Linked DNA regions of Bombyx mori. The protein of the gene in region 6 purifies or fractionates together with the protein of the main gene of each other region. This does not show direct contact. Links are inferred from orthologs where the notes say so. Each region holds a gene or a part of one and is shown on either strand. Other genes may lie near its edges.

Region 1 (4,228 bases), on a different chromosome or scaffold from region 6:
TCGATATATATAAAAATGAATTGCTGTTTGTTAGTCTCGCTAAAACTCGAGAACGGTTGGACCGATTTGGCTAATTTTGGTCTTGAATTATTTGTGGAAGTCCAGACGTTTAAAAGGTAAAATAAAATTTTGTTTTTCCTTTGATGTGTCCCCCGTTGGACGGATTCCTTTTGTTTGTTTTAAGTTTATTTTATACAATAGTTAGGTCTTTTATTTATCGATTGAGGCACTACGAAGTCTGCCGGGTCAGCTAGTTTAATCAATATATTTGGCCAATTAAATGATATAGTAGTCAGTTAATGTAGTAATGGTATGTAGTGGTACCTGTCACCGCCGCCGCCACCACCGCCACCGCCGCCACCGCCATAGTCTTCCTTCACACGTATATATGTCACCTCACCCTGGAAATGAATATTTAATAGACGTCTAAATCTTGCACTACATGACACTGCTTGCTTTTTAAATTTCTTGAGTTGATTGTAAAACGCTTTTACAGTGTAATATAGCTTTCTTTTCATTCATTTTATAATCTTCATCATCTATGACCATAAGGTCTGTAATATCAAGATTAAGAAAGTATGGTTCAAATTTGATCCATGGTTCAAATTTCTTTTGTAATATCAATATGAAAGCAAACTCAGTTTACTTAAGCTGAGATGATGTTTTGTTGCCTCACATCTCATTTTACATTCCATTTGTTCTTTTCAATCTCATATCAGTTTTTCTCAAACTGAAATTACTTTACCATAATTGACAAGTGAATTGTTTTTTAAAAAAAATATTTAACTGTATGTTGAAAGGACAATCTCATTTTTTATAATTCAGTAAACAAATTGGTAACAAGTATGGGCAGAAAAAAACATTGAAAAAAAAAAAAAAAAAAACTGGTATTGCAAATAATCAGAAAAAGGAGACAGCTTAGTCCAACCTAGCTAAAGAATTCAAAAGTTTGTTTTGCTTACTTTATTTACTTGAGTTTTACAGAATGCAATTTTGGACATTATAGATATCTACTGAGTTTGACACAAAATAACAGTTGTTGATTTTGAGCAGCTATTTGTAAATGAACAGTTTAAGCACTATCCCATGGTTTAATTTCTCCTTCATGAGCCTTAAACTTCTAACTAATTCAAATTAAACTATAAAAGTATTTGACACAATTGATTATCTTGAAACTTTTATGTCCACGTTGGGTAACAATGATAAAAAATTTGGGACAATCCACCAACAGTACTGTTCTTTCACATTACAGGTTATGTTTATAATTATTTTCAAATAAAGTGGAAGAAACTAACCTCATGACTCCTAAATCTAGAATCATCTAACTTTTTAACAGCATACTTCATATCTTCATGCCTCAAAAATTCCACAACACCAGATCCATCTTTAAAGGTGTCTGCAAAGCATACGTCGCCGGCCTCTCGCATATGGTCTTTGAGGTCCTGCCAGGAACCCGAGGGCGGTAAGCCGGTAACGAGCACGCGGTATTCAGAGCGTCGAGCGGGCGGACCACGTGCTGCCCCTCGTCCACCCCAACGGTCACCACCGCCTCGAGAACCACGAGAGCCTCCACCTCCACCTCCACGAGGGAACTCGACTCGAAGACGGTACCCATCATAGTCGTAACCATCCCTGGCTCTTACTGCATCATCTGCATCTCTGAATTCCAAAATAGATTTTATTAAAATAACTTGTCTCAGATTAATTTAGGTAGATATGACTGTATATTCTACTAGGAGTGAAACAAGGCAGGCTCTGAGCTGTGCACCTGGTATTCTTGACGTTCATTAGTGACAGTAACAACTCACCATGAAGTGGACATATCTAATAAAAGAACCAATCACACACAGTTTTGACATCACTCATTGTGTAATTTTAATTTAATATGTTGTGTGTTTATATGTGTGTTATAATTTTATATAATTGGCAATAATCAGCAAATTTTATTGATTTTAATTTTTCTGAAATAATTAGAAATCATAGGTGAATATTATTAGATTTATGGATACAGGTGCTCTGGCAGACTATTAAATCTGTGCCACCCTTCATATATTTTAATATGTGCCAACTTTTAAACTAATTAGTTGTCAATTAATCATAAAATAATAAATGATTAATTGTTAATTTAAAGTCCCATTTTCATTTATCAGTAAAAATGTTTACTTAATCTGTATCTGTATCTGTGGTGTGGAAAATTATATTAACGCTGAATAAAATTGTTCATTTCGCTATAGTCGGGTACAGATAGCGGTGTATGCGGCATAACGTATGCGCTCTTTTAAATCTTCTTCAAAGGCAGCTGAACATTCCGTCCACCTGACACGGGATGATTATCGCTACTCAGACATGGACAACGTTAGTAATATAGATAGCCCGTTTCTCTTTTCGAATTCAACACTCACCTGGGATCCTCAAATTCCACGAACGCGAATGGCGGACCTTTTCTGTTCTTTAGGTCAACGAACGTTACTTTTCCGAACTTGTAAAACAAGTCTTGAATATCCTTTGTCCTTATGTCCGGTGGTAAGTTTCCAACATATATACGACACTCATTTCTGTTGCTACTGCTTCCACCCGACATTATAGCTAAAGAATATTACTATTGCTTAAACGTTTACTTATTATTATGTTGGCTTCATCGACTAATTTCACCAATCCGACGCTTTACTGTGTGTAATTGAAAGTCGGGCAATATGGCGTCAAATGTCAATGTTCCGATTTTGGATCACGGTGGATTTGACAGAAAAGAAAACGATAATCATGAAAACGGAAGTGGAAAAACCTGGTCATAGATTATAAATATGTGGCTGTATAATTTTTACAAAAGTCCGTGTGAAAGGATTTATACAAAGATGTGTATGTAGTCGTCCGGCACATTTTAAAACTAAACACCATAAAATTGAATAATTAATCTGAAATGTAGTTTGCTTTTGGTGATATCAGGATCAGGACACTTATCATTCTTTCCTGCTTGTCCGGAAGTTTCTGTGTCGAAATCAGTACCTATAGCGTGTTTTATAGGTCTTTCTAATTTCGAGCCCGCTGCCCTTCACTTTTGTTAAATGGAAATTAATATATAGGCTGATCAATATTGGCAGTTTCGAGTTATGTTAGTAACATTAAAGTATGGGTTTTCCCATATAAAATCAGGTAGGAACTTACTAGAGAACTTGTACTTGAACTTGTGCTTAAGGTGTCATCTTCTTGAATGGATTAAATAAAATAAAATAAAATAAATAATACAATAAGGCTATGCGTCATGATAATCGCCTTATTGGTGCCACCGTTGATTACTCCTCGAATTCTAATCATGCAGGAGCCAGTCACCGTTGATGCCCTAGACACGTCCTTACGGATCCATCAGATCCAATAACCTTTGCATTAGAAGCCTTCAGCTCTAACACTAGTAGCAGGCTCAGGGACCCCGGTAACCGTACTCATAGAACTCGACAAAGAGTTCGACGTGCAACCTAATCTATGTATCAGCCCGCTGAGTTTCTCGTCGGATCAGCTGTCAAAGCAGCTACTCTTGAGTTGATAAGTCTCCTTCGGAGGCGCTCGGGCAGCTGTTAAGTAATCCCACCCCTCCTGGCTGCGCTTTTGCTCACCTAACTGTCCTGGTGAAATTAGTGTAGGGGAAGCTTAACGACCGAGGGAAGATCTTCCATCGAGCTGGTGATATTGCTCGGTAGACCGACGGTCCGAATGCTGTTGTTCGGAACTTGTATATATGCGCTTTAACTTGAAAATGTCGTAAGCGAGATTCAGACATCTGTCAATTATCTTGCGTTGTATGATGGCTACCCGCCACATCACTCCCCTCCGAGACTGGAGGTCGTGTCATTTTTAGTTAGCGTTGTCCATGCTGAGATTAGCTTGCAAGGGCCAGTGCTGCTCGAAGCCTGCGGTGAGTCGAGGCTGAGCTTGAATTGCTGCGTGATTGTCGCTAGTGCTGCTCGTAGTCTGCGGTGAGTCGAGACTGAGCTTGAATGCTGCGTGATGAGGCAGTGTAGGTGCGTGCCGTAGGAGCAGGAAGCGCGGTGAGTCAGCTGCGATGGTCCTATCGAGGCTGCGATGCTGGCTTGCTGTGGGACTACTGTCGATGACTTGCTTTTATCTGCGAGAATTGTGGTAGCCGAAGTTCTTGATGCGCTGATGATGAAGTGTGAAGGCTGCAATGGTTTCGTCGCAGGTCACCAGTTTGTAGAGATATACGACAAAGGGGAGA
Region 2 (2,890 bases), on a different chromosome or scaffold from region 6:
TACGACTAAGACATAGTGTGAATTGTGGTTTTAAACTGAACGAGACTCATAACCGTGGATATGCCCTCCTGCGCTATTTTTAGATGATTTATTAATTGTGTATGAAGATGAAGAAAACATAGATATTTAGAAAAACATGTGTTTTTTATACCCTAATAACTACAATTGGATAAAATTACATTAGGAACATCTCCCTTATCATAATTAATAAATTAAACATTAATAAAAGAAAAGTTCTTGAAGTAACTCATAATCCAACACTTATTTATATAGAAAATAAACCTCAAAACGATTTTTTTATTTTATTTTATTTTTATAATAGTGGTGTCAATTTCAATATATTTTTTAGATATCCAATATATTTAAGAAACAGTCCATTTTTATAGTAATATTTGATGTCCATCTTGGGCCCAGAACACTATGGAGAGTGGGTGTTCCCCTTTATAATAGTAATTTAATGAAATCCAACTTCACCCTTTAAATCAAGTGAAAGAACACAGTTGATACACATTCTTTTATTAAACTTAATTATCAGTACTGACGATTATTAATATATGGTTGTGGACGCCTCATTGGTGGTGGCATTCTGTTTGGGGGTGTTATTGAGATGTCTAGATAGTTCCCAATTTGAAATTTCAGTTGTGAAAGTGTCTTGTTATCATCGCCTCCTCTCTGTCCGGAACATGTAACTCCTATTTCCCTCATACGATATGTAGGGGAACGCATATCAGGATACACAATGGCAAAATCAAAGTATGTGCCTTTCCGTCTCGTCTCAGGATTAACTTCTTTTACAAGTCCTGTAAGTTCTCGCAGTGTAGCATCCATCCATGTATATATTTGTAATTCATTCTGAGGTACGTTTCCTCTAACATAGTCTCCAGGAGAATTATGTCGGCCAGTTGAACAAAACACACGGAGCAATAGAGGACAGGTCTGAAACATTTTAGGTTAAATTTATATCTCTATATAATCAGGAAAAAGCATAACAAATTTCCTCCTCTGTCAATTCAATTATTGTGTTTTATTTATAATCCTAATGAACGAGCTTTAGTGTTATCGAAAACAAATAGATTGTTACTTTATATCTCACATTTACAAGAAAAAATGTCAATTACGAAACAAAAAAGAACAGAGTGCTTTAGTAGACACAACGGATTTGAATGTTCTGTTGATTATTATGGTCAAATTAAAATCAGTTGGCGAACATTAATTTAAAGTAAATGCTGTTTATAGTAAAAAATAATCAATTATATTGTTTAACAAAGTACCTTTTCTCTGTCCACCGGTTTTTCTGTCGGTTTAATTTCTTCAACTACCATTGATTCTAATCCCGCCATTTTCATAATATTTGGAGAATTGTGGTCCTACTTAATTTTTCCAACTTAAGTAATTATTTAAATTATGCGAGTCTTTAAATACATGTACCGGTAAAATGGGGCGATTAGGGATTGAGAGGCGAATCGGGAAAAAACTGGGAAAATCTTTCGACGCTCAATATAAGTTTTATATTCGTTGCAAAATCTTCCATTTTTTGTAGTTTAATAGTAGAATGTTGAAAGTTCACAAAACAACTCTGAATATGCATGATAATAGCTGCTAACTTATAAAAAATCGCGTTTCAAATTAACTTCCTGTGGTGGTAATTATTTTAGTGCTAGAAACTTTGCTCTCTTTTATTTATTTGATAATAATAGAAAACGACTATGATTTATAAACGTTATTTAGTGTTTGAACCAGCATATATATTAAAGGTAAGTCTCAGTTGTTATTGGTTTTAATGTATTTGATTAAATAAAAATACATGTAAAAATCTGTTGTTTTGGGGATATTGGGGACGGCTTAGGTACAAATAACAACGAAAAAGGGGTCAATTGGGATGAGAATACGTGAAATGGAAACGAACTAAGTATAAATAGGTACAGGTTTGTAGGGTTGTCTATGTAGTTATAACAATATTTTTTAAATTTGTTGGTAAAAATCTGGTTTATTCGAAGCGAAATTGGGAATAAGTCTTTATTTGAAATAGATAAGCAATTTAATATAAGTAAGTCAATTTTGGAGAGACATGTAACAAGATCAATGAAATCTCAAGGTGGACAAAAATGTCTAAGTAATACATAATAAAATATTTAATATTTGTTCAGAGTGGGGGTATTCATCTGATTAATCCATGGAATAACCGACACACCTAATCTCTTAACCCAGATAGAAATATCAGCACTGTCGATTGCACCTATAATTGAGGTGATGTCTGCCATGTACTTTTGTCAGTTTTTCAATTTTTTTTATTGATGATCACTTTGTTGGTGCAACTAAATAAATAAATAAATTAAAACTATATATAAAAATAAAAGTAGTGCCAACCCTAGCAAATTTCTCATTTCGTCCCAATTAACCGCAATTTTCGGGTAAATAGGGATTACACCTATTTTTGCATTTTTTGCTTAAACTGGAATGCTAGTTCCATAATTTTAAATTAGACAACAAAGATGCCCCCAAGACTCAATCATTTTGATCCTGATATAGCATTATATACATCAACAACTACCTTAAAATTGATCATAAAGTTGGAATTTGTCCCTAATCGCCCCATTTTACGGTACCTTTAAACAATTTCTGATGATAAATGATTTTTTTTTTGAAGGGCTTTTATGACCTGGTAACTAAGACCTTTAGGTCAAGTATTATTTTAATTTTAATGATACGTAACTTTTTTAAATGAAAATGATATTATGAAATAAAATGAAGTTGATTATAATGAAACCTAAAGTGAAATGAAAACGAAATGAAATGACATGAGATGAGATGATATGGGATGAAGCATAATCTCAGTAAAATGGTGGTCATTTACTGAGACTTTTTCAGTGGACTTTTTGGAAGATCCCGA
Region 3 (4,190 bases), on a different chromosome or scaffold from region 6:
TCTTGGGCCAAGGTCTAGAATCTGGGAGACATTTGTTATCTCCTGCCGCCATGTAGTCCGTTTGCGACCATGCCATGCTAATTTTCGTCACATCTTTACCGGTTTGTGCAAGTCAGACTGAATTTTTTTGGTGACCAATAAAGAATTAAAATCAACAAAAGCTCCATGGTAAAGATTTGAATTTGCAGACATAAAATAGAGAATTTGTTCCAGTGCATCCCCAACACATACTTAATATTAAACTTCCCTACAGGGAGAAAAATATTAAGGGTTAAAGTTAAAAGATAAGTGTTAAGTTGGTTACCCCCGTCCATGTGCTTCATAGCATTTTCTGCTTCATCAGCATTATTAAACTCAACATATGCGTATCCTCTTCCATTATGTGGGTGAAGTCGGTCCATAGGAAACTCAATTGATTTCACAGTACCATATGTCGAAAATATTTCATGGATGTGATCACGCGTTACATTTAAAGTCAGTCGTCCAATGTGGATACGAGTTGGTCGTGGTGGTGGTGAGCGTTCTCGCTTCTTACGTCCTGGAGATCTGAAGAGAAAAAAAGAAATTCTTATTATTATTTTACCAGGGGCCATAATATGGCGTATTAAGGCTATAATTTAAAATAATAACTGTTTTGTACCGTTCCTGTTTTTCCTTAATTTTAGCTTTGTCATTTGATAAAGGTAACACAGATTTTTTTTTTTCTCCTGTTGGTGATCTATCTCTAATCTTCTCCCGATCAGCATCACGACGATCTTTAAGTGGACTCTTGTTTGGTGAAATTGTTCTAAAAATAAAGAAAATGTATGGTCAGGTTAGCAATCTTAACATGCATGATGCCCAAACATAAAAAAAAAACATTTTAAAAGCTTTGATCAATTTCATTGACTTCAAATTATTATTTTATCAAATAGTGTTTCAATTCTGATTGTATTTTTTTCTCTTTTAATTAGTACTGTAATGATCATGAAATAAATTAATAATTTACTTGTGGCTTTCCGTCCCTGCATTATAAAGAAAACTATATATGAGTCAACTATTATCAAAGCCGGCAATGTGACTTTTGGATAATTATTGGTAAATCAGAAAACAAATTATTGACTTTGTATTCCATTGGCAGTCACAAAACTCTTCCGATCGACATCTTAGATAAATAACAGGTTAAGTATTAACCTTTATTTAATGCAGGTTTTGAACCGTATTCTTTGAAGAAGACGATTATATTCAAATCAATCTGTATTGACATATCAATAATTTTTTTTTGTCCAAATGCACAGATTGCCGCCTTTGATAATAGACGACTCATATATCAGGTTATTACATGAATATTATATTTCCTGAATCAGATATCATATTGTAGAAAAAAGAAGACCTATTATGGGCTTAGGAGTAATCACTTTCAGATTTCTACTAAATTATAGAAAATTAAATATTGTTTTAGTTAAATTAAGTACTGTTTAAATACCTACTGTTCAATATTGTTATTGATTGTTTCAATAACAACCTACCAGTGCAATATTTTTCCATTAGATGTGGATAGGATTGTGGCCATCTAGTGTTAATGGAGCCCTTACATATCACAATATTGATGCAGTCATTCACCTCGAAACATGAGATTGAAGAACTATAACTACGCCCTATTCCTTCAGTACAGAATGTATCATAACATATTTAGCTAACATATAAAGCAGATGGCTTTTTCTAAAAACCTGATTTGCTCTACATTTTGATGGTCTACTCAGCATATACTGTAACTTATTAAAGATCTATCTGACCTTCAACCTTATTGCAGGATTGTATGGAGTGCCCCCCATAATATTATCAAAATTTAACAAAATATGAACATCTATAATGAATTGGTGTTCGTTAGTCTCGCTAAAACTCGAGAACAGTTGGACTGATTTGGCTAATTTTGGTTTACGATGTCTGCCGGTTCAGCTAGTACTGAATAAAAACTTCGCTTTGGCTTAAGAAATTGCAGATTGTTTAATAATAATTATATTAATCCTTATCTTATAATTTTAAGCTTACTTTTTCTTAGGCCTTGAACGGCCATTGTTACTGCTGCTACTGCTAGATGAGCTGGATGATGAAGATGAACGTGATGAACTTCCTGAGCTACTGGATGATGACCGAGAGGATGACCTTGAAGAACTACTTGATGAACTGAAAATAGATTTAAATTATATTGGTTGAGAAAGTAACTCCCAGGATAAGGCTTATGTACTTTCATTATTTAGTTTGTACCAATAATCACTTCAGCAAGATATTAACAATTTGCGTGGGTTTTTTGTATCTATTTGGTTTTTCTAGTAGTGTATAGTAAGTTGACTATTTCTTATTATAACTTCCGTTGAAGAAAGAAAGCCCGCTTTTAACATAACCTCCAAAGAATTGTGTTACAAATCTTAATAATACATTAGTTGGGATACCTTCCACTACTATCACTGCTGCTGGAGCCTGAGTCACCTTTCTTTTTCTTGCTTTCTTTGGGTTTCTTCTTCTCTTTCTCAGCTGCAGGCAAAGGCGATTTATTTCTAGCCCTGGTATTGAAATGAAACATGTTAACGGGCCTCTCTAAATGTACAATAGTAGAATTTTTATAGAATAAGTTGAGGAAACACTTACATTTTCAACCTACTATGTTTTTATTTACGTTTCATGAATGTAAAACCTTAGTAAAACAATGTCGTCTTCGAAATCCGATAGCGTCATTTGCCGACCACGATCAGTTCATAGATAATATTAAGTGTATAATCTATGCATAGATATTATCTATGTTAATACAGATCAGTTGTCAATTACAGATTGTGTAGAAATTATTTAGTTTTTAAGGGATTTTATGACCTGGTAACTGAGACCTTTAAGGCATGTCTTATTTTAATTTATATTCATATTTTTATGAAAAATGATATTATGAAGTGAAATGAAATGAAGATGATTAATTTGACATTGACATCAATCAACTGGGATGAAATTAAATGAAATGAAATGAGATGATATGGGATGAAATATAATCTCAGTAAAATGGTGGTCATTTACTAAGACTTTTTCCGTGGACTTTTTGGAGGATCCTGAGAAGTTACGTCCAGCGGCTTTCTTTTATTTTCCCTCATTTATATTATGAGGGAAAATGAAAGATATTAAACAGTTAATAAACCACCATTATTACACATTTAAACCCGAAAAAACATTAAATAGACAAAATAAAATAAATCACACAACTTCACTCCTCGCGTTCCCGCCAAAAAGTCCTGTAGAAATTATATTTTTAGAGATTTTATGACCTGGTAACTGAGACCTTTAAGTCATATCTTATTTTAATGTATATTCTTAATTTTATGAAAAATGATATTATGGAGTGAAATGAAATGAAAATGATTAATTTGAGACATTAATCAACTGGGATGAAATTAAATGAGATGATATGAGATGAAATCTAATCTCAGTAAAATGGTGGTCATTTACTAAGATTTTTTCAATGGACTTTTTGGAGGATCCCGAGAAGTTACGTCCAGCGGCTTTGTTTCATTTTCCCACATTTGTGCACTTTCACAGATATTAAACGGTTAATAAACCACCATTATTACACATTTAAACCCGAAGAAACACTAAATAGACAAAATAAAACAAATCACACAACTTCACTCCTCGCATTCCCGCCAAAAAGTCCGTAGAAATTATAGAAAAATCCATAGAACAGTATGTACTGGTAAAACGGGGTGGTTAGGGACAAATTCCAACTTGATGAACAATTTTAAGGTAGTTGTTGATGTTTAAAATGCTATATCAGGATCAAAATGATTGAGTCTTGGGGGTATCTTTGTTATCCAATTTAAAGCTATGCAATTAGCATTCGAGTTTAAGCTAAGAAAGCAAAAATAGGTGCTATCCCTATTTACCCAGAAATTAGCTAGAGCTTGCACTCCTTGATTTTAATCAATTATTTTATTTAGTTGCAATAACAAAGTGATCATCAATAAAAACATTGAAAAACTGACAAAAGTACACGGCAGATGGCATGAATTTAGGTGCAATCGATAATGCATTGACAAAAAAAAAAAAAAAAAATAACTAAAACTTGATTACATTTAATTACTTATGATTAATTTATATTTGCTTGGGAAATTATCTGTGACAGATTTTTGAAGTTGTAAGACAATTAGAAAAAAAACATCTATTTCATCACT
Region 4 (4,195 bases), on a different chromosome or scaffold from region 6:
AATGATCACAGTAGATCTACTTTTGATAGATGGAATTAAAAAATAACATACTTGATCAGTAACTTGTGGCTCTGGCAGCACAAGTTTGCTGCGTTTTCTTGCCGGAGCATCACCTTGTAGCATGGCTTGTGGCACATCATTTTCCTTGCGTTGTTTTAACTTTTGCTTATCCTTGCGACGTTCTCTCTAAAAATATTAGAATAAAATTTTGTAATAAAATAAAATCTTTATAATTTTTAACCACAGAATAGATAGGTAGAAAAAATATACATGAATATAAAAAAAATGTAGATAGAAGCAGCATCTCATATTCCCTACTTCCTTACTTCCCTAACTTAACAACTTTAAGTATAAATTAAGTACATGTAACCAACCTCCTCTTTCTCAGAATGTAATTCACCGTCAAGGTGTTGTTGTCGGAGTCTTGAGAAATCAGGAGCCATGGGATCAACTACTTCAGTCGAAGTGTCATAGAAACCAGACGCTGGTCTCTTTTCAAATGGTATCTCAGCATTATAATCAACGCCACGTTTTTTTTTACGCCTGGGGAACAATGAAGCATTATATTAATAATAATATTATTATAAATAATAATAATAATAACAGCAAGTAGGCTATCAGCTTGTTCATCCGCCTATGCAAAGACAATCTTAAAAAATATAAAAATGTTACTCAATTTTACACGACCAATTGAATGTAAAATATTTACTTTTTTTTGTCTATTTCATATACATATAACTTATTGTGTTTTTAAACCTTAATGGTACAGCTATCCCAGCAGCACTGAGTTCCCTTCGCTTCTGTAGTGCAGCAAGACGACGGGCCTCTTCTAATTGCTTTTCACGAGCCTTCCTTTTAGCTTTCTTACCCTGAGTGTTAGCTAAACGTGCACGAGCTTCTGAGAGCATCTCCAATTCTAGTTATCAAGAATAAAATTATAATCAAAAATCATGAAACAATACAATTCTAAGCTTTGGCTGTGAAGTACATGTACAGCACTCGTTCTTTACCCTCAAAGTCTATAGTGTACATTTTCTAAATGGCCTCTCTAGCTGGTGTAAAAGTATCACTCTTAAAGCCAAAATTATATCGTGATCAACAATAATTTTTTATCTAGTCTTCATTTTTATAAATTTGAAGGAAAAAGATCATTGTGACACAAAAATGAAACACAGCACGTGTAAACTTCTGATGTTGTTCACACATACATTCTTAAAGATATACAGCTAAAATGAGTATATCACTTATGGGACGATGTAAAAACTTGTTGCTGTTGTTGAAATCAGCATGAAGTGCATCATCAACATACTTGGAATTCATAACTATCACTAACTTGTCTTCATTTTTAAGAGCTAATGGTTCTTTTTACATTCTGTGTTTTCAATTATGCAAAAATATACTAAACTATACAGTGAACTCTAACCTAAATTCACATTATTAACTGAATTCATAACTAAAAGACTAAATGATTTTTCAAATATGATTTGCTTACCATCTTCATCCATATCTTTTGGATCAGGTCTAGCAGGTTTTGTTTCTGGATTAGGATCAATCTCACCAGGCTTCAGCTTACGTGGATCATCACCCATGTCCTCACCTTCCTCTTTCTTTTGGGCTTGGTCTCTAGATGAGAATTAAAGGAGTTTACAGAATTTTATAATATTCATAGATAAGCATCTGTGGTCTGACAGATTGTGTTGTGAACCTGTGTTTTTGTTCCATTTCTGTTCCATTTGCCGAAGATCCAGCATTTTTAAACTGGAAAATATGCTTGAAAGAAGAATGCTTTAAACTTGAAAAGCGAGATAGCCGTTGCATAAAACAATTGATTTCCACATTATTTCTAAAGCTGTATGGCAGTCACATTCACATTATGATGTCTATGAACCCCATCTGTCTATTTAGAATATTAAAATAATTGTATTTAATCATCACACAAACTACAAGATGGTCAATTCAGATCTCTAGTTCTACACTATCTATCTTGCTTACTGTTGCCTGATTTGTTTAGTGTGATTAATTATTGATGCTAACACCAAAGCAACTTTTTCAGATACCTATGTGAGTGATTGAAACCAAACCTAACTACTTTACTCTGTTTTATTAGATACAAGGAACTCAAACTTAACAAGATAATTAATTACTTACAACAAATATTCGTATCTTTCCAAACATTGTGCAGCAGTACGTCCGATGATAGGAGCAATGGTCCTCCACTGAGTTGGCATCAATTTGGCCAAGTGCAACAACTTCTCGTCCTCTTCTCGGGACCATTCTGTTTTCTTTATACTTGGATCTAACCACTCGTACCAACGGGCTTTACATTGTTTTGCAGATTTACGATGGAGCAACGAAGCTATACGAGACCACTGATTTTTCCCATATTTCATTACAGCCGCTTTAAGGATTTCATCCTAAAGTGACACACAAATAACATTAGTATTAAGGAATCATAAGAAAGTATTAATAAAGAATACAAAATAGTAAAATAACAAACCTCGGTGTTGCGCCAAACGCCACCTTTTATCATAATCCGGGGCATGTTGGATAGTGTTTATTCAGCTTATAAATAAATGAAATCAATTAAATTTGAATAACTACTACTTAAATATGCAATAATTTTCATTAAAACGTCTCCATTTAGCGAAAATTTAATAAATTGAGATGTAAGGATAAATCAATGAAATCTAAATTCTATAATCCATCGACATTTTTTTTTGTACAAATTTTCCTTATTAGGAAAGGCAAGGGGATCTAAGCCCATATAGCCTTTAATCCATAGACAATACATACACAAGATATAGGTAAAATAAAAATTTCAATATATATATTTTTTATTTTATGACCTAACGTAACATAGACCTTTAGGTCATATCTTATTTGTTAAACTATACAGGGTGTGTGAGAACTCAACGTCAAGCCGAAACGGGGTGACAGGATTGATTGTAACCATCATGAGAAAAATCAGAAAAAAAATCTATCCCATCCAGTTTGGAAATTATGGCCATTAAAAACCTAGAAATTTGGTCAAACTTTAACCATTTTTCGGTTATTGTGGTTAATTTTTGTTATTTTTGTTCATTTAAACTTTGGAACCGTAACCCTACATAACATTTCTAGAACCGCACTCAAAAATAATGACACAACTGCCCCAAGTTTTCTCATATGAAGTCGTCGTCGCCTAAAGGATAAGACGTCCAGTGCATTCGTGTTGAGCGATGCACCGGTGTTCAAATCTCAGGCGGGTACCAATTTTTCTAAAGAAATACGTACTCAACAAATGTTCACGATTGACTTCCACGGTGAAGGAATAACATCGTGTAATAAAAATAAAAGCCGCATAATTATAATTTGCGTAATTACTGGTGTTAGGACCTCTTGTGAATCCGCACGGGTAGGTACCTCCGCCCTGTCTATTTCTGCCCTGAAGCAGTAATGCGTTTCAGTTTGAAGGGCTGGGCAGCCGTTGTAACTATACTCGAGACCTTAGAACTTGTATCTCAAGGTGGGTGGCGCATTTACGTTGTGGATGTCTATGGGCTCCAGTAACCACTTAACACCAGGTGGGCTGTGAGCTCGTCCAACCATCTAAGCCAAAAAAAAAAAGAAAAAAAAAGCCATCATGAGAAAAATCAGAAGAAAAAAATGTGTGTGTGCATGTCACACACATTACGTGTGACACGGTAGAAGTGAAACTTATAAAAATTAAAATAATCGCAAGAATCAACCAACCCGCAGTGCAATGGAGCAGCCTCACCCTGTGGAAACCGCCTGCATAATCACGGTATCCCTACGCCAGGTAAGTATGATTTAGCTTTTTTTTTCCTACCTAAGCTGATAGCCTTGCGAGGCTATTTCAGCAGAACCTTAACTAGTAGGTGAACTCACGGGGCTCAAATCTGACGACGTTGCTAACACGAACTCTAGCAAGAGCCGTGCTTCGCAGAATCTACCACCGGATCGGAAACGCAACCCACTGAGAAGATCCGGCGAGAAACTCAGTGGGCTGTGTCTGAGGGTTAATTTACTCGACGAGCCCTTCCTCGCAAGCGACGGGTTCGACGGGAACGGTGATCGGTGCTTGAGGTACCTAAAAGCACCGTTAGTGGATCGGGAGGATCCGAAATGACGTGTTTGGGGTGATGTCGACTGCTTTCCATTCTTTTGATTTAGCAAGAGAAATACGAGAACATCT
Region 5 (3,500 bases), on a different chromosome or scaffold from region 6:
AGCTATCCCTCCGGGAGCCGTGCTTTTTGGTCGCTCGCCAAAGCTGCAGAAGGAAACTTTTGCAGGTCTAGTCTCCCACCACTGCGCAAGTCCGATGACAATCTGGCCCACAGCGCGAAAGAGAAGGCTGACCTTCTGGTCAAACTCTTCGCCTCGAACTCGACTATGGACGACGGGGGTGCCACACCACCGAGCATCCCCTGGTGTGATAGCTCCCTGCCGGATATCTGCTTCACACAGTGTGCAGTCAGGCGGGAGCTCCGACTCCTGGACGTTCATAAGTCGAGTGGGCCAGACGGCATCCCCGCAGTGGTTTTGAAAACGTGCGCCCCTGAGCTGACACCTGCGCTAACGCGTTTGTATCGCCTCTCTTATTGCACTAACAAGGTTCCGTCTTCATGGAAGACTGCTCATGTCCACCCTATCCCCAAGAAGGGTGACCGGTCGGACCCATCGAGCTACAGGCCTATCGCGATAACTTCCTTGCTTTCCAAGGTGATGGAGCGAATTATAAATACACAACTCCTGAAGTATCTTGAAGATCGCCAGCTGATCAGTGACCGACAGTACGGTTTCCGTCACGGTCGCTCAGCTGGCGATCTTCTTGTATACCTTACTCACAGGTGGGCTGAAGCCTTGGAGAGCAAGGGCGAGGCTCTCGCTGTGAGCCTTGATATCGCGAAGGCCTTCGACAGGGTCTGGCATAGGGCACTTCTATCGAAGTTACCATCTTACGGAATCCCCGAGGGTCTCTGCAAGTGGATCGCTAGCTTTTTGGATGGGCGGAGCATCACGGTCGTTGTAGACGGTGACTGTTCTGATACCATGACCATTAACGCTGGCGTTCCACAAGGTTCGGTGCTCTCCCCCACGCTTTTCATCCTGTATATCAATGACATGCTGTCTATTGATGGCATGCATTGCTATGCAGATGATAGCACGGGGGATGCGCGATATATCGGCCATCAGAGTCTCTCTCGGAGCGTGGTGCAAGAGAGACGATCAAAACTTGTGTCTGAAGTGGAGAACTCTCTGGGGCGAGTCTCCGAATGGGGTGAATTGAACTTGGTTCAATTCAACCCGATAAAGACACAAGTTTGCGCGTTCACTGCGAAGAAGGACCCCTTTGTCATGGCGCCGCAATTCCAAGGAGTATCCCTGCAACCTTCCGAGAGTATCGGGATACTTGGGGTCGACATTTCGAGCGATGTCCAGTTTCGGAGTCATTTGGAAGGCAAAGCCAAGTTGGCGTCCAAAATGCTGGGAGTCCTCAACAGAGCGAAGCGGTACTTCACGCCTGGACAAAGACTTTTGCTTTATAAAGCACAAGTCCGGCCTCGCGTGGAGTACTGCTCTCATCTCTGGGCCGGGGCTCCCAAATACCAGCTTCTTCCATTTGACTCCATACAGAGGAGGGCCGTTCGGATTGTCGATAATCCCATTCTCTCGGTTCGTTTGGAGCCTCTGGGTTTGCGGAGGGACTTCGGTTCCCTCTGTATTTTATACCGTATGTTCCATGGGGAGTGCTCTGAGGAATTGTTCGAGATGATACCAGCATCTCGTTTTTACCATCGCACCGCCCGCCACCGGAGTAGAGTTCATCCATACTACCTGGAGCCGCTGCGGTCATCCACAGTGCGTTTCCAGAGATCTTTTTTGCCACGTACCATCCGGCTATGGAATGAGCTCCCCTCCGCGGTGTTTCCCGAGCGCTATGACATGTCCTTCTTCAAACGAGGCTTGTGGAGAGTATTAAGCGGTAGGCAGCGGCTTGGCTCTGCCCCTGGCATTGCTGAAGTCCATGGGCGACGGTAACCACTCACCATCAGGTGGGCCGTATGCCCGTCTGCCTACAAAGGCAATAAAAAAAAAAAAAAAAAAAAAAAAAAAGTCTCAATTTTGTTATAATATACAATTTCGTTATAATATATGAACACAGTAAATATGAGTCGCCAAGAGTAATTGCATTGTATAACATCAATCCAACCCTTCAAACTGAAACGCAGGACTAGTTTGCCGCACAAATACACCGAATGGTGGTATCTACCCGTGCGGGCTTACAATACGCCCCATAACCAGTTAACAAAAGATAATGTAGACATTTTACTTCGCAACGATAACAGAAGCAAAATCTTACAATACAATCATATTTAAGTGAAAACAACACACCAACAAGTTTATTATGTTAACATTATCACTATCATTGTATTTTTATTTACGTCTACATTAACAGTACCTTTGGTTTCCGGTTCAGTTTTCGCAGGGCTGACCTTGTCTCTGATCGGGCTGCTGCGCCGTCTCGATCGACGCGGACTTCCGCCGTTACGATGCCTAGAGTAATTTTAATGGTCATTATCTTATGTCTAACTAGCTATCATCCTCAGCTACACGCTCCACATTTCGTACCTTTTTTTTCCTGTCTAAGCTGATGACCTTCAGAGACCAGCGTAACCTTAACAAGTAGGTGAGCTCACGGGGTCTCAAACCTAACCCTAGTAAGAGCAGTGCTTCGCAGAAACTATCACCGGATCGGAAACGCGACCCGCTGAGAAGATCCGGCGAGAAACCCAGTGAGCTGTGTCTATGGGTTAATTTACTCGCCGAGCCCTTCGTCGCAAGCGACGGGTTAGACGATGACAGGTGCTTGAAGTACCTAAAAGCTCCGTTAGTAGAACGGGATGATCCGACATGACGTGTTTTGGGCGACGATTTTGTACCACGTTGGGGGTGGTGACTCATACTCAGCAATGAGATAGATCAATGGTAGCTCTTTAACCATTTCCCAGGTTAAAACTAAAATTATGATTTTGACAGTTTTTTTTCTTATTAAATTATACATACGAATATATTTTGCTATTTAACAATTAACAGTACAAGAACACAATTTAAAAAATATTTGTAATTATCGTAACTAATTAGCAACACGCAATTTTAATAAAACAATATATACTACTACTACTCCTAATTAATCAGTTGACTGGCGATAAATAAATGTAATTCCGAATGTGCACAACCAACAGAAAATAGTCACATGGTGATTCTACTGCTCTTCAGTAGTAACCCCTTTTATATTCTATTTTACTCCATGAATAGACTAACTCGAATTTTACTAATTTAATATATGTATGACAGACAACCTTTACATTCTCAAAAATATATTCCAAATGCTTACTCCTTATCACTATGTGGGCATAGTGATAAACGGCGACTGTTACTCTGTTAATGATTTTAAGCGTTTAATTTCAGAGGATCCGCTATTCAACTAAGCACACTATTGTTTTGTATTATTAAATGGGCAGCATAGTATTAAGTATCCATGTGCAATCCACCCCTACTACCACCAGCAATGGATGCTGCTACCTGGAAAATATACGTCTACTACTAACTTTCTGTCACTGGAACGATCACGAGAACGAGTTCGCGAGCGCCGTCGGTCGCGAGAGCGGCGCCGGGAACGCGACCGGGACCTCGATCTCCGTCGCTCCTTGTCTTTGTCCTTG
Region 6 (4,165 bases):
GCCCATCCAACACTCAACAAAAGCCCAGAGGCATTATTACATAAATGCTGTCTGTAAAGGTGATCCATATCTCGTTTACATTAAAAAAAAAAGAGCAATTGTATTTTTCATATTAAATCACTAGTGATATTAGTTCACGAAATTCGAAACCATTCACATTTAGATCTTGAAAACTAAAAGTCTTCAAGATCGTATTGTTTTTATTTTAATAGAATTTCCATTACCTTTGACCAGAACGAAATTCCTTCATAATGTTGTCTCTCTCTTTCTGTGGCATGTCACCATGCATTGAACTGACAGTGAAGTTTGCCTCTTGCATCTTCTGTGTGAGCCAGTCAACCTTCCTCTTTGTATTACAAAATATTACTGCTTGGGTAATTGTCAGTGTATCATAGAGGTCACAAAGTGTGTCAAACTTCCATTCTTCTCGTTCAACTGCCACGAAGAACTGTTTGATACCCTCCAGTGTCAACTCATCACTGTAGAAAAAATGATTCTTAATTTCAAATACATTTACCATGATAGAAAATTTGTTTACTTAATTACTATTTAGCTTGCATAGGTTTATGTGTTGAGCAATTAACAAAATGATAGTCCATACAGAAATAAGCTTCATCCTAGAAATAGTATAGTTGATAATGCTAAAATAAAACAGATAGTTTTCTACACTTAATGTAACTTCTTTTCTTAATCTAAATCTCCTCTAGTGTTTCCTGAGTACTGTGACATAATTTTATTCAAATGAGATATCAGGCAAATAACCCTTAGCGTCACTAGTGTCCATAGGCGGCAGTAATCACTCACTATCAGGTGGACAAATTCCTTCAAGGGCAATATAAAACAAATATTTCATTTAACTTAGTGGGTGGATGAGTTCAAGGCCCACGGTGTTAATGGTGTTAAGTGGTTACCAGAGTCCATAGACACCTAGAACAGCTTTGCTGTACTGAATTCCATGGGCGATTGTCACCACTCACCATCAGGTGGGTGGTATGCTAGTCTGCCTACAAGGACACTAAAAAAATAAAATGACATGAGTTCTAGTGTCTCGCATTTTACAGTACAACAGCTGACCCACCGTTCAAACCAAAACACATTACTGCGTCCCAGCAAAAATAGACAGGATCGTGGTACCTACCCGTGCGGACTTACAAGACATTCCTACCACCTACCACCAGTAATTACGCAAATTATAATTTTACATGTTTGATTTTTATTATAAGATGTTATTCCTTCACTATGGAAGTTAATCGTGAACAATTGTGAAGTACGTATTTCATTAGAAAAATTAGTACTTGCCTGCAGAATTCGAACTTTAATGTGTATTTTTGAAATAATCATACAAACCGTTTTACTAATATCCTTATTGGATCAGTCATAAACTTTGATGTCATTTCCAATATCTCATGGGGTAGTGTTGCTGATATTAGCACAACCTGAGTTGCAGGAGGCAGATAGCGGTATACATCATAAATTTGCTCTTTGAAACCTTTGTTCAACATCTCATCAGCCTCATCAAGAACCAGCATCTTTATTGACCGGGTTCTCAACACACGCCTTCTGATCATATCTGAAAATAAGATTGTTTTCTTATAATCTAGGGCACCCTACATCTTGCAGTGGATAGATTATTTAACTTTTTCAATTATTGCACAAGGATGACAATTTATAGACACCATCCCTGTTCTGAGATGCCTGAAACCATACACATGGGTTTGTGGTGAGACTACTGTAGTGAGTAGTACTGTTGGTGAATTTGAGAAGTGGAAGTTAAGTTACTACTTTCAAGAAATAAAAAAGGTGAACCAGCCAGATAACAAAAAAGATCACAGAAGGTTTATCTTTGGTTTTGGAAACTAAAACAATTAGTACTTATTTACTTGGATTAGCAATTTTCATTTATTTACCAAAAACTCTGCCAGGTGTGCCAGACACAACATGCTGTCCGTAATCCAATTTCCTTATATCTTCTCCAAGATTGGTACCTCCAATACAAGCATGACATTGAACGTTCATGAAATCTCCAAGAGCTAATATCACTTTCTGAATCTGAGTAGCCAGTTCACGGGTCGGTGAAAGAATAAGTACTTGAGTTTCACGCAGAGTCGTGTCTAAAGTCTGTAGTATTGAAATTGAGAATGTCGCAGTCTTTCCTGTACCAGATTGTGCTTGAGCTATTACATCTCTGCCTTTGACTATAGGCAAGATGCTTCTCTGCTGAATTGCTGAAGGTTTTTCGAAACCTGTAAATTAACGTTAGTTATTACTAAGTGGTTACCGGACCCCACATACACCACAATACGGAATCTACCAGCCCCCAAGGTTTAACAGTGCGATTGATTTTAAATGTATTGTAAATTAGTATGTCACTCTTCGAAGCCGGAACGCAGAACTGTTGCGAAAAAACAGGACGACAGTCTGACAGACGGACGACCATAATACGGTCTAAAGCTGGTAAGATAATGCCCACATGATCGTTTATGTAGGCAGTTGTAATAATTATAAATAACACCACAATTTGTACTAACCATATGTGTATATTCCTCGCAATAACTCATCTCGAAGTCCCATGGAGTCAAAAGTGGGAATAACTTCGACATCTTCACTCGTGTCGAACTCAACATTCGACAAATCTTCCGACAATATTTTTCTATTGGACGATACTTCAGACGATGTCATTTTTCGAATCTAGTTCGCTTCTAAGTTTTTAAAATAACAAGTTATACGATAGGTGAAAATCTCTTAGAATCTGAATTTCTAAATTACTAAAGGGAAACTTAAGAAACTGTGTCCATAACCATAGATAACACCATAGATAATGAATTTAATTCCATAAGATAGATAATACATTTCATACATAAGATCCATAGACTATTAAGTGATTATTACGCTTTTATTAGCTCCATACCTATGTAGGTATGTAACGGAATCTTTGAATATGATTTTGACCACCTTCAAAATGTCAGATTAACTTGAAATTTGGCATACTTAGGTATTAAGGACCGATGATAATTCAATATTTTAAACAGTAGACTCGTTATTTAATTTCGGCAGTCAAAACAACAAATTAATTTTTGCGCCTTCTTTTCTTCACTTAGAAAATTTGGAAACTGTTTTATTTGCCTGAATGCACATTAAAGAATAATTTATGATAGATAATAAGTAAACTAAAAAATGAAAAATACATAATAGTTTAAAAAAACTAAAATACATGTTTTTATAGAAAATCCAACTAAAAAATGGAAAATAATGTAGTGTGCAACAACGTTACTTCCCACACATCACAATAAATTTATTTAAAAAAAAGCGTGGGATGCTTTTTATGAGATTATCAAAATGATAAGACTTAGCTAGCAATTTCTGTCAATAAAATATTTAAACTATTGACGCCGCGCATCTCACGATTTTCTATAAAAACGTGTATTTTAGTTTTTTTTAATTATTATTTATTCATGTATTCTTAAGCCGCGATAACCGGAGTGATGGTAAGAACTCATCCGAAAATAATGTGATTGTTTATAGTACTGAAAGGCGACGACGCGGGGGCTCATAGCTACTGACGAAACCCCTTACTAAAATAAATTAATAATGTTGATTTGTAGATAGTCTGTGGTTTCAAGAGTCACAGGTAACAATCTAAAATGGAAAAGAAATAAAACGGCTATAGATTATACACAAAGTAAAAAAAACGTGATACAAAACGCGAAAGAAGAAACGTTAAAAAAAGAAAGTTTTAGAGCGTAACCAGCAAAAGATATAATGCGGCTACAAATTTTAAAAATACATGTATTATATGATTCTATAATTTAACTGTTGAAATTGTTAACTGTGCTTTACAAGATTAATTTGAGATCTAAACATTTTTTCGACTGGGTCGAAACAAAACGCAATTAACAACGCATTCGTTCAGAGGTCGAACTGGTCGAAGGAATTTCGTTTTAATTTGTGGCCAAAAGAACGACCGTATTTGATTTTGAACGAATCAAAATGGATGCTGGGTGTGAATGAACTGTATACTGAAACCAACAGCTTTTCAATAAATTGTGTCGCGGGTTCGATTGATGATAAAATTCCTACGTAGGGGTATGAATTTAAAATTTTAAACAGTGAGCAAATCAGATTTCTTTCCTTTGCAGTCACTTTGCTTATTGTTGAAATCAGTAGT
Region 7 (4,003 bases), on a different chromosome or scaffold from region 6:
ATAGCCTGAAAAATCACAAATAAGTATTTCATATTATCACTATTAATTGTAAATTGTCGATATAAAAACAGCTTTGAGACATCAAATTTTAGTTTTTAATTTACTAGAAATATATTTTATTTTCGTGTTTTTGTTAATATAATATTGAAATTCACTTATATGTTTATTATATTATTATTGTCATGTTCGCAAAATGTTAGCATAGAATATATAAGGGAAACTTTCATAAACTTGCCTTAGACATTTTCCGAGGACCTCTCTGATAAACCTGGGTTTTGGATGTTCAGGATCTAATTGGAGACACGCCTCCCAATCTTCCCATGACCATCTGTACTGGAAGTTGCTCAAATGGTAGGCAAACCAGTTCGCAAACCTTAAAAAAAAGACTACTTTAAAATATTATTTACTATTCAACTGTAATCTTCTTTAAGTGATATTTAAGATAACAACATTCTTCTATTCAACATTGTATCATTTTGTGAAATATGCTTGAACAGAAAACCCCAAAATAAAATTTTATATTGTTCATTAATTATCCCATAGCTATACACATGCACATACATACATTTAAAGAAAAATATAAATTAAAAGATAAGGTGTAAGTGTCTTGAGTCCACAAAATTAAAATGAAACTATCAATGTATTCAAATTTCATCCAAGGTTAACATACCTGTCAAAGCAAGCAACATTCATGGTGTCAATCCTCATGAACAAAATTTCAGTAGCTTGAGCTAGAACCTGTGGCATTGTTGATGGCTGAAGCTTGCAAAGTTCAATTAATATTGAACCATAACATATCTCCAAATACCTTGGTTTTGGCAAATTAAATAATTCAGCAAATATCACCTCAACTATGCAATATTCCAGAGGAATTTTGGCTTTGTAAGGAAAGCAGAGGAGTTGAGCAGCACATTCTTTACGTTCTAAATGATATGTCTCAATAATATTGTGCAAATGTTCTTCTATCAAGAATCTCTCTATAGAGTGCACTCCAGGCAAAACTGGTCCGTCTGGACAGTCTGTGTAGTCAAACATACGGAATATAACCCGAGGCATTGGATAAGTATCAGTGTCATTATGGGGTGGTGGCTGAAATATAAAAACATCATCAATTATTACCATATGATTTGTAAACGAAAATATTATATTGGTGCAACTTTTTAAAAAAAGTTAACTTTTTATTAGTTTTGTTACCGCATTTATTAGTCAATCTTTACATGTAACATTTATTTATGGCACCCCTGGCACACAAGCTGAAATAAATTAGTCTGCAACCTTTGCTTGAAGAAACACATGTTCTTCAAGCCTCGAACTTCCACAGGGCAAGTTACTTCTAGTTCCAAAGTGTGTGTAAGGTAAATTAAATAAAATGCACTAGAAGTGGGCAGCTCCAGATATAACTAGTAAACTGTACTTTGGTGGTAATGAACCATATAAATACCATAATCGAATACCATAATCGAACAAAACCAAAGTATGTAAACTTTAACTAATTTGTATTAGAAAATCATAGTATATCTATTATAAATTCATATGATACCTGAATGGCAGGAAGTGTGTGTTGTAAAGCTTCACAAAGAATAGAGTCAAAGGCAAGATATGGCCTTGGAATATGTTTCTCTGACCAATTGTCTTGTTTCAACTTCTTTATCTGAGACCAGAGGCAATCCAAATATTCTTCTTGTAAATGAGGTGAATCAGCCGACCACACCTTTAAGGCTGGCCAATGTTTCTTACTCCGTTTATTCAAGAAAACCTCTATAGTCACAAGTAAGTGATCTAATTGAGATTCCTTCTTTTCATACAACTCCCGACCAACCCAAGGTAATGCTGACAGCACCGCAAATACAAACCAATCCCTTCTGACGTGAGGTACTCCATCTTCATTAGCAGAATCTACTAATGTCTCTAATAAAGTCAGCAATGATGAAGCAGCCAATACGTGACAGTTCACCAAGTCCGCAATGAACCTTAGACAATACCTAGCAGCATTCCATTTCCCGACTTTAAGATTTTCTTTAAAGGTTTTTACTATGTAATCAACAAATTCTCCACCAAAGTTATAATTCTTTGCATTCAACAAACCAACAAGAGTTGCATAGATTGTACATTTCTCGGGCATGCGGATAGCACAATCCGTTAGTATCCGTAGTATTTTAACTCTAAAGGTACTCAAATCGGCTTCCAGTACACTTGCTAATCCTTCTAGGTTACTCTCCAAACTGGAACTACTTTTTTCGCCAACTCTTAAAATTAAGGACTCTAAGCGATCCTCGATTTCTTGGTTTTCAGATACACGACGCCTTTTCCGATGGAGGCGTTCTGAAAATAGTAAAAACAATTACATACTTCACAATGTACAAATAAAATTAAATATAACCTGTATATGTTTGATCTTAACAACTCACCATATCCTTCTTCATCATCATGTCCTCTACGACGGTTCATAATAAAATCACTGTGCGTATCACAAATCTTTGACTTTTCTCTTTATGCTTTTGTTTACGAAATCGTATTTTACGTTTAGAACAGAAAAAACGATAGCAAACTCAACAAGCTTTGAATAAATTTTCAATGTCTTCAACTCCGAAATCTTGCGACAAAGCAGTGCTGTCAGATGACCGTGTGAATTTCCCTCCAACTTTTTTTTAAAACCCCCCGAAAAATAAGCTTTTTGAAAAAAAAAACCAAAACAGCTTTTACTTAATTTAATGAAGAAATAAAATACAAAAGTATTCTTTTATTGGAACGAAGTTCCTTACGGCAAGCTTGGAGGGGATAGGGATTTTGCTGCGCGACCGAACTGAAAAAAATGTGATAGTAAAACCGTAAGAAAAAATCCGTGGAAAAAAGTGCGTGGAATAAAACCGTTAAATGAGACGTGCGCAGGCGCGACAGTCGCATACACAAGCGAGTAGTGTATATACCTTTCTCTTTCTCCTTCTTACTTTTCGTTCTCTAATCCCTTCTCTCTCTATTTAGTAATTATTTCTATTTCTATGTAATTTTATGTTGTCAACCAAAAATAAAGAGATATATTTTGTTATTTTAATTGATAATTTGAATTACTATTTTTTTTATTTTACGTAATTTATTATTTTCTAAAATACTCAATTTCCTAAATACTTTCCCGTGCTTAAATAAAAACTAATCAGCAAAATTTAAGAGAAAAACCAAGAAAACCTACATAAAATTGAGCACCATTTCTTTTTTTGCAAATTGTGTCGATTCTACATTAGCCCAAGGAACTTCGTTCCTACCTGGTGTCCCACGACACCACATCTTTTTTATTTTTTAATCAAGCTATCCCATAACTTCAACCACCTCTAAAAAATTTTTTACAATCATATTCACTTTCGTTTTTATTATATAAAGAATACACGTTTTCGGAGTTAAAGATTAAAAATCTTACATGTCCGATGTGGGAACAAAATTTATGGATCCTTATGGCAGTGAATATTGAATCTCGAGAACCGCTTCGACAGTTTCTATTGCCTATTCATCCGGTTGCGTAATTTTTCCTTTATAATATTGTTTTGTGCATAATACGTATAGTAGATTATAAATATTCTAATAGTGATGGGAATTGTGTTTGTGGATGAATTATATAGTGCTCAAAAAACCTCCGAAATTTCTCCCAACTACCTTTTTCCCCCCAAATGTCCCCTAAAGAATCTTCCCCGCCGAATCTCATCTTCAAGGTCAAAAAACCCCCGAATTTGCAGGAATTCCCCCCCATCTGGCAACTGTACGACAAAGTGACAATCTTGAAATATCGTGTCAAGTTGTCAACTGTCAGGACTTTTTCTTTCAGTAACTGACAGTAGAGTTCATTTCCCAAAGGTCTTCATGAAACATCATTACAGCCTATCTTTTATTAACTATTTTTTAAAAAATGATATGGTGCGTAATAAGGTGAAATTGATTTAGACTGTAATAAATTGGGATGACACTAAATAAAATGAGCTGAGATGGGATTGTAGCAACTAAAAAATCCACTGTC

The links.
Region 1: the proteins of eIF4AIII (region 6) and serine/arginine-rich splicing factor 1A fractionate together in Homo sapiens (co-fractionation; 4 studies listed by BioGRID and IntAct, with this or other methods). This does not show direct contact. The link is inferred for Bombyx mori from reciprocal best matches to the Homo sapiens genes EIF4A3 and SRSF1.
Region 2: the proteins of eIF4AIII (region 6) and histone deacetylase complex subunit SAP18 fractionate together in Homo sapiens (co-fractionation; 3 studies listed by BioGRID and IntAct, with this or other methods). This does not show direct contact. The link is inferred for Bombyx mori from reciprocal best matches to the Homo sapiens genes EIF4A3 and SAP18.
Region 3: the proteins of eIF4AIII (region 6) and ribonucleic acid binding protein S1 fractionate together in Homo sapiens (co-fractionation; 3 studies listed by BioGRID and IntAct, with this or other methods). This does not show direct contact. The link is inferred for Bombyx mori from reciprocal best matches to the Homo sapiens genes EIF4A3 and RNPS1.
Region 4: the proteins of eIF4AIII (region 6) and cell division cycle 5-like protein purify together in Homo sapiens (affinity purification with mass spectrometry; 3 studies listed by BioGRID and IntAct, with this or other methods). This does not show direct contact. The link is inferred for Bombyx mori from reciprocal best matches to the Homo sapiens genes EIF4A3 and CDC5L.
Region 5: the proteins of eIF4AIII (region 6) and serine/arginine repetitive matrix protein 1 purify together in Homo sapiens (affinity purification with mass spectrometry; 3 studies listed by BioGRID and IntAct, with this or other methods). This does not show direct contact. The link is inferred for Bombyx mori from reciprocal best matches to the Homo sapiens genes EIF4A3 and SRRM1.
Region 7: the proteins of eIF4AIII (region 6) and nuclear cap-binding protein subunit 1 purify together in Homo sapiens (co-immunoprecipitation; 3 studies listed by BioGRID and IntAct, with this or other methods). This does not show direct contact. The link is inferred for Bombyx mori from reciprocal best matches to the Homo sapiens genes EIF4A3 and NCBP1.

What each region holds. Positions count from the first base shown.
Region 1 is NC_085122.1:429,901-434,128, forward strand, and holds the start of serine/arginine-rich splicing factor 1A, read right to left. Parts: upstream 2,801-4,228; 5' UTR 2,582-2,800; coding exon 2,403-2,581; intron 1,660-2,402; coding exon 1,296-1,659; intron 402-1,295; coding exon 325-401; intron 1-324. UniProt on the Homo sapiens protein: Plays a role in preventing exon skipping, ensuring the accuracy of splicing and regulating alternative splicing.
Region 2 is NC_085129.1:7,373,308-7,376,197, forward strand, and holds histone deacetylase complex subunit SAP18, read right to left. Parts: upstream 1,595-2,890; 5' UTR 1,347-1,594; coding exon 1,272-1,346; intron 937-1,271; coding exon 532-936; 3' UTR 501-531; downstream 1-500. UniProt on the Homo sapiens protein: Component of the SIN3-repressing complex. Enhances the ability of SIN3-HDAC1-mediated transcriptional repression. When tethered to the promoter, it can direct the formation of a repressive complex to core histone proteins.
Region 3 is NC_085114.1:7,346,484-7,350,673, reverse strand, and holds the start of ribonucleic acid binding protein S1, read right to left. Parts: upstream 2,801-4,190; 5' UTR 2,631-2,800; coding exon 2,629-2,630; intron 2,544-2,628; coding exon 2,433-2,543; intron 2,167-2,432; coding exon 2,032-2,166; intron 788-2,031; coding exon 641-787; intron 547-640; coding exon 305-546; intron 1-304. UniProt on the Homo sapiens protein: Part of pre- and post-splicing multiprotein mRNP complexes. Auxiliary component of the splicing-dependent multiprotein exon junction complex (EJC) deposited at splice junction on mRNAs.
Region 4 is NC_085115.1:11,711,888-11,716,082, reverse strand, and holds the start of cell division cycle 5-like protein, read right to left. Parts: upstream 2,801-4,195; 5' UTR 2,543-2,800; coding exon 2,498-2,542; intron 2,415-2,497; coding exon 2,149-2,414; intron 1,624-2,148; coding exon 1,493-1,623; intron 917-1,492; coding exon 757-916; intron 544-756; coding exon 375-543; intron 187-374; coding exon 52-186; intron 1-51.
Region 5 is NC_085128.1:8,258,078-8,261,577, reverse strand, and holds part of serine/arginine repetitive matrix protein 1, read right to left. Parts: coding exon 3,387-3,500; intron 2,332-3,386; coding exon 2,237-2,331; intron 1-2,236. UniProt on the Homo sapiens protein: Part of pre- and post-splicing multiprotein mRNP complexes. As a component of the minor spliceosome, involved in the splicing of U12-type introns in pre-mRNAs. Involved in numerous pre-mRNA processing events.
Region 6 is NC_085131.1:3,885,419-3,889,583, reverse strand, and holds the start of eIF4AIII (eukaryotic initiation factor 4A-III), read right to left. Parts: upstream 2,801-4,165; 5' UTR 2,680-2,800; coding exon 2,529-2,679; intron 2,244-2,528; coding exon 1,908-2,243; intron 1,571-1,907; coding exon 1,348-1,570; intron 480-1,347; coding exon 225-479; intron 1-224. UniProt on the Homo sapiens protein: ATP-dependent RNA helicase. Involved in pre-mRNA splicing as component of the spliceosome. Core component of the splicing-dependent multiprotein exon junction complex (EJC) deposited at splice junctions on mRNAs.
Region 7 is NC_085127.1:11,154,228-11,158,230, reverse strand, and holds the start of nuclear cap-binding protein subunit 1, read right to left. Parts: upstream 2,801-4,003; 5' UTR 2,449-2,800; coding exon 2,409-2,448; intron 2,323-2,408; coding exon 1,541-2,322; intron 1,090-1,540; coding exon 671-1,089; intron 374-670; coding exon 236-373; intron 6-235; coding exon 1-5. UniProt on the Homo sapiens protein: Component of the cap-binding complex (CBC), which binds cotranscriptionally to the 5'-cap of pre-mRNAs and is involved in various processes such as pre-mRNA splicing, translation regulation, nonsense-mediated mRNA decay, RNA-mediated gene silencing (RNAi) by microRNAs (miRNAs) and mRNA export.